Nothobranchius furzeri: one gene and its partner. The main gene of each other region encodes a partner of the protein of the gene in region 2 in a complex. Links are inferred from orthologs where the notes say so. Each region holds a gene or a part of one and is shown on either strand. Other genes may lie near its edges.

Region 1 (4,197 bases), on a different chromosome or scaffold from region 2:
AGTGATCTGTATTCTTCAGTTGATTCCAAACTCCATGCATGGTGTTCTTATTGGGGGAAAGCATTTAGGTGACTGTGTCTGACTAGAAAAGCACCTGAAACTAGAAAAACATTCATGTGTTCACCTGACTCTAGTAGGTTTGGGTCATATCTAATTTTCTCTGGTAATACATATCATAATATGTTGGATTAAACAAACTAAGTGTTTTATTGAGATGTGTCATCATACTGCAACGCACATAGTTTATTAGGGAAAGGAGAAATGTGCAGAGGGTTTGTGCAGAAATTGATACTACAATCAAACACAATGAAAGATAAAATATGCTCATTTTCCACAAGTACTTCTCTGCACAATATTTCTTATTTTATTTATTATATGCTCTGTTTGATTGTGCAAATTATTTACATTCATTATATGTTGATTTTATACTCTTGAGTTTTATTGGCGGGAAAAGAAGTAATCCTTCCATTGTACAGGAATACATGATTCCTTAATGTGCATATGAAAAAAAACTTTTAATTAATTTCAAGTTAAATGTTTACACAAATACATGCCACTAAATGCAAGCTGTACTTATGTTAAAAGTCAAATAATAATTTTACTGGTTCTAGATTGATTTCATCAAGCAATCTCTGTATTTTATGGATTTGAATATTAGGCCAGTCTTAGTTTATACAAAGACATTGTGTTCTATGTGGAGTTTTTATTAGGTTGTAATCAATAACCATCAATAATGATGACTGGTTTATATTATGTGCTGGTGAACAAAACTAAAATGAAAAAGGTGTACTACATGTGAATACACATACCAATAAAGTTTCAACGAAGGTATAGAACGTGTGCTTGAGATCAAACTGTATATGTTTAGAAGTGAACAAGTGTTCTTACCTGGTTGTCAAATTTAAGTGACTGTGTCCCCACGAGAAAGCGGATAGCATCAGTCTCAGCTGTTTGGGCAGTAAGTGCACGTGCCTGCAGAAAAACAAAACGTGACAGGAACATATTTAAATAATGAACCGCAGAAGAGAGCATAGCTGAGGAGAGTAATGAATGGAGTAACAAGAGAGGACTCCACAGCCTACCTGGAACTCCAGACCATAAATGACAGGAGCGTCGTCTTCCATTCTTCACTTTGTTTCAGCCTTCAGTTCTATCCTTTAAAATTAAAATAAAAAAATAAATAAAACACCCCGAAACCCTTTAAGTTGCTGTTTTTGTGAAACGTAGTAGTGTTAAAAACAAGAAACAGTAGCATCACTTCCGCGATTTAAAAAAATGCAAGAGAAAAGAACGTACACTCTGGTTGAAATACGTAACAGCGGATTTGAAACGTAAGGATGGGTTTGAAATTTACGTAAAAGGCCGTGAAGAATACCATATAGTCACATCCGGGCAATTGTACACTGTTTCCCTACGCGGCGCATGCGCATTGCTTTTTTGTTCGTCCAGCTGCAGTAAGGTAAGAGATTAGCGATTTTTAATGTTTGTATTTCTTCTTAAAATGTGTTGTTTGTTCTATTTTGACTATACGTGTGACGTGTCCCATTCGTTTTGAATTATTAGTAGTTATTTTTGTAGTGTGACAGCTGCTATTTTACGCCCTGTAACGCCACACAGCTACGTAGCATTAGCATCATAGCCTCCTAGCATCAAATAGCAGTCCTGAGCAACATAGCTTCATCTATGTCGCGTGAAATAGTAAAAATATTCAAACTCACCTTATCGCTGTAGCTGTGATACAATGTTAACGGTGCATGCGTGTAATTACAGGTGTTTGAAAGTAGTGACAGGAAGGGGATGCGTCCAACTTCCTGAAAATATGAAGCGCAATAAACAAAACGCAATTTTAACGATTTCATATCCAGACTTTGCGTATTCTAGTCAGGTAAACTGCCACTGCTCAAGTTATTCAGCAGACAGATACACACAGTTGAACGTTGCTGTCTAAGAAGGGAAAAAATAAGTGTTTTTATGTTATACGAGTTTATTCTAATCACATCCTCCCCTCAGTTAGTTTATTCAGAGTCACTCCTCACAACCACTATCAGAAACTTCAGACAGATTTCGAACATAGTAGACTGAATCAAGCAGTAACCAAAGTACACTTGAACATCATTTGTTGAAAAATAGAACACAATGCTGACCCTCAACCCAGAAATCAGTGTTTTGGAGATTCCAAATAAAACAATTCATCACTGACCTAACACATTTGTTGTTTTCTTTCATAAGCAGTAAGATGGATACAGGGGAGGGTAATGCCCAGCGGCCTATTACTTTGGGCATTACAGTGGAAGACTTCAGCAATGAAGCTTCTGTCCCGGAGACAGATACAACTAACACCATCCAGACCCCTCCCAAAGATGACATCCTGCTCCAACAGGACAGCATTGACCTGGGTGCAGGGGAATTCGTCACTCCACAAGAGGACAGCAGTGCCACACTTTCTGAGAGCCTGATGGATAGACTCAATGACCAGATGATGGAGAGTGTCATGATCTCTGACTCGCCCAATAACAGTGAGGAGGATGATGTGGGTCCTATTGACTCCTTCCTGGATGGTGGGCTGGAGGAGAATGGATCCTCAGGGAACAAAAAGGAAGAAAGTGAAATTGGACAGAATACAACTGAGATTAAAGTGCCAGTGGATCAAAAGGAGCAAGAATGTACCAAAGACGACATAAAAGAAGAGATTGACATAGAAGAGCAAATTCAAATAGTGGTTTCACCTCAGAGTGAAGCACATAGTCCTGTTGTTATCAAGAGTGAGGATCCAGAACATCAGTCACCCAAAGGGACTAGTCCTAAAGATGAGCCTGTGCCAGTGTGCACCATATTTAGCCAGGGCACACAGCCAAAGTCCCTGGCACCTGATGGCTTTCAGCCTACTCTGATCAAGTCCCCTAGTTTTACCACGGGGAGTGGTGGAGGCAGTGATGAAGCAGTGACTCCCAGTAAGATGACTGCCCCGCTGGTGTGCCAGCCCAGCCCAAGTCTTAGTAAGTTCTTTACTGATAACGGACAGGCCAATCCAGCCTCTGACTTCTTTGATTCCTTTACTGCCCCATCTTCCTTCATTTCCATCTCAAACCCTAACGCAGATGTGTCTCCCGCTTCCACCCCTGCACCCTTAAGCTTCACACCCGAGCACCAGCGCTCTTCTACTTCCTCCTCAATTTCCACCCCAGGAGGACTTTTGGACTCCGGAGCTCCTACGCCTGTCTCAGTGTTTGGCCCCACTGTCACTGAACCAACCACCAAGCCCCAATCTCCTATATCCCAAACTGTCCCATCTCTAAATCTCGCTAGTTCAACTCCTCAAGCACAGCCCTTTAACCAGCTCCAGGCTGTATTCTCGGGCACCGATGACCCATTTGCAACAGCACTGAGCTTAAGTGAGGTGGACAGGCGTCATGATGCCTGGCTGCCATGCGAGGAGACGAGGAAGATGTTAATCTCTGTTGCCACCCAGCAGTACGGCCCAGCATACGTAGACACCAACAGACTCACAATGCCTGGATTAAAGTTTGACAACCTGCAGGTAGGACTATCCCCAAGACAGCATGCAGTAATTTTACATGTTGCAAAAGGCCAGAGTGGCATGTTTGTCTGAAGAAACTCCTGAAATTTCACACGTCATCACATAAACCCTCTCTGTACCACCTTAAACAGCCACACACATCTGCCATAACAATCTGTTATCGTTTAAGTTGAATCAGTTGACTTTTTTGTCCAGTACAGTCTTTGGGGGCTGCTGAGAATGATCTTTATTTTCCCCTCACAATATGTTTGAATGCTTGTCTGAATAAATGAATAAAAATCAAGGTTTTTACTCAGTGAATTAGATCTATTTTACAGCTTTATTAAAAAAATATTCAGCAGTCTGCAGTTTTTGCTTTTTCCTCTTACAGCAAGATATTGTTTTTATTGATTTCCATTTTATATAATTTTATTCCTCCACTTTCATCTTCCCTTCAAAAGCTTGTTTTTACTTGATCTATTGACGTAAACATCTGTAGTTTGCTCTCAGGCTAACCCTGGTGTACAAATGTCAGCGTTCTTCAGTGTATGCTGCAGCTTTTTTACAACCCATGTTAAATATGTGATTTGATGCAGGGGGATGCTGTGAAAGACCTAATGGTTCGTTTCCTGGGAGAGCAGGCAGCCATGAAGCGCCAGGTTCTCACCGCCAGCTCAGTG
Region 2 (2,584 bases):
GATTTACCGTCATTTGGGCGAGTGAGAGAGTCCTTTCCAGTTCGTTACCACATTGAGAACAGAACAGCCCTGGTGCAGGAGGTAGAGATCGCTGTGGAACCATCTGATGCCTTCATGTTCTCTGGACTCAAACAGGTGAAGTCAGGATCAGTCCAACAAATGTTACGGACCTTTAGATTTTCTTTTTGTACTTTCCTGATACCTGGCTTCCAGTGCTGGTACCTGGACGATACTTTTTCTGGTACCTATATTGAGTCTAATTTTGATAGAAAAGAGTATTTAAAGCTACAAATTTGTAAAGTAGGCTAGCTTAAAAAATTTTCTTTTATGCCTCTAAACTGTGTGTGTGTGTGTGTGTGTGTGTGTGTGTGTGTGTGTGTGTGTGTGTGTGTGTGTGTGTGTGTGTGTGTGTGTGTGTGTGTTTATTTTATGTCGGTTCACTAACAAAATGTGCAGCTGTGTTTACAGAAGCATGTGTCTTTGGGGCTGCCTTTCAGCAGAGGCTTACAGCTTTGCTTTGTCATAAAGTAGTCCCAAGTCTAAAATGGCGTCTGTGATTCCTTCATGTTACTAATTATTTTCACTTACATTCAGTCTGATTATTCAGGTCACCAAGCAGAAATGGGATCACTTCTGACTGAGCGATCAGGACTTTTTTTTACTCACTTTGCTAGTTGGATCCATTCACATAGTCTGTTTTATGCTAAGCTAAAGGAGTACAGCTGTGTCAGGAGAATAAAGTTATTATTTCACACTTGTCTAACTCGGAAATATCAACATTCAAATTTTCAAAGTTGGGTGGAATATCTCTTTGTCTTTCATTCAGAAAAAGGATGCATTTGCTTCCTCTTTGACATTATTTTTTAATCTCCACAAAATATTTATTGTTATACTATGTGAGAATGTTGTTAAGAGGATTGAAAAAACTGTTTTAAGCTAGCTTGTTTTGCAGATTTGCCATTGTAGCTTTAAAGTTGACACATTTTCCTGTCAAGTTTTTCTTTATAAATCACAAAGTTAGCATAAAAAATAACTTGCAGTTTTCAGACCCTGTTTTGTGCACAAGCAAGCTTTCTAAATGAGGCCTGTGATGTTTTCTGATCCTCAGGTGCGTCTGCGTATCCTCCCTGGGACCCAGCAGCAGATGCTGTATAATTATTACCCCCTGATGGCGGGTTACCAAACACTCCCACAGCTGAACGTCTGCCTGCCGCGCTGCCCTGACTCTAACAGCCTCGCTCTCAGACGCTTCTTGCCTCAGCACATCTTTGTAAAGGTAACGGCTCTGGGTGGATGCACATGATAGACGGAATACAAGACTAATTTTTTTTTACTAAAGCTGGATTTGTTTGTGTTCAGCCTCAGGGTCGACAGCTGGACGACACTTCCATCGCTGCAGCGTGAGGAGAAATAAAATGTATCTGCTAAAACAATGAGCGCAGCGTGGTGTATGTTCATAATTACCCTAACTGTCTACATTTCTGTAAAAATGCATCATGTTCTGACATGACATTTTAGTCACAATGATTACAGGTGATCACATAAAATGACCAGCAGCTTGTAAATGACCTGATTCAGCTGTGAAGAGCCGATGGTGTGATGAAGTCAGTAAAGCTGACGCATCCTGCAGGTCATCAAACTGTCTTTTTCTAAATCAGACTGTTGCATTGCAGGATGAGACATGGGTCATTTACTTTTACTGAAAAATGTGAGTGTTTTACCAACAAACACACTAACATGTCCAACGGTGCTGTTCGATTGCTGCTTTTTACTCTGGTTATCTTCAAGCAAACTTGTTCAAAAATGAATCTTTTTTTGCATGTGTGATCATTTTTTGTGTTTTACAATGACATAGGTTAGGATCGTGTATGGAAATAATTGCTGTGAATACTGAACAGAATATCATTCACTATCCAATCATCATGAATCATTACACATGTAACATACAGAACAAAAACATTTAGACAGGTTGTTTTTCACTCTGAAAATACTGCTAATTATTTTATTTGCCTTTTTTTAAAGTGAATGTTTCTCTCTGCTAGGTGTGTAAATAAACTAAAACATTAAAATAAATTCAAATTTTATGGCACTTGGTCAAACTTTCTTTAAAACTAAGCCGGAACGGTCGAGAGCGCTGTTTGTGTTTAGAACATAGACTGTTTACAACCAGCTGTATTCAGACCGGCAGCTGATGGACCAATCAGGAGCAGCTATACTCAGACGTGCATAACCTTTGGACCAATCTGGAGTAGCTGTTTCAGACTGACAGCCAATGGATCAATCAGGAGCAGCTAAATTTCACCGGAAGACGTGTCGTTTGAATCAGGATATCGCGATATTTCACGGACGGACGGAAACGGAATTCAAAACTAGGCGCTCCAACCGGCGACATCTGCGTAAAACGGTACAGAAACTCGATTTATCTTTGTCACGTACTTGTTACACATCAACGAAACCATCTTTGTACCCGTTTGCTCAGAGGCACTTACTAGTTTAAAGCCGCGGGTGTTTGATGTTAACCAAACTGAATTAGCTTATGTTAAACCGGAGCCGCTTGATCTGCCATCTTTAACTCCGGCCGTTT

What was found.
Region 1: trappc11 (region 2) and trappc12 share a complex: the UniProt entries of both Homo sapiens proteins name them as parts of the multisubunit TRAPP (transport protein particle) complex. The link is inferred for Nothobranchius furzeri from reciprocal best matches to the Homo sapiens genes TRAPPC11 and TRAPPC12.

What each region holds. Positions count from the first base shown.
Region 1 is NC_091758.1:44,404,831-44,409,027, forward strand, and holds the start of trappc12 (trafficking protein particle complex subunit 12), read left to right. Parts: upstream 1-1,397; 5' UTR 1,398-1,459; intron 1,460-1,718; exon of another isoform or gene 1,719-1,872; intron 1,873-2,229; 5' UTR 2,230-2,236; coding exon 2,237-3,538; intron 3,539-4,113; coding exon 4,114-4,197. Other genes in the region: eipr1 (EARP-interacting protein homolog), read right to left, coding at 889-972, 1,083-1,124. UniProt on the Homo sapiens protein: Component of the TRAPP complex, which is involved in endoplasmic reticulum to Golgi apparatus trafficking at a very early stage.
Region 2 is NC_091741.1:109,667,483-109,670,066, forward strand, and holds the end of trappc11 (trafficking protein particle complex subunit 11), read left to right. Parts: intron 1-1; coding exon 2-135; intron 136-1,108; coding exon 1,109-1,276; intron 1,277-1,359; coding exon 1,360-1,404; 3' UTR 1,405-2,084; downstream 2,085-2,584. Other genes in the region: spdl1 (protein Spindly), read left to right, coding at 2,273-2,404. UniProt on the Homo sapiens protein: Involved in endoplasmic reticulum to Golgi apparatus trafficking at a very early stage.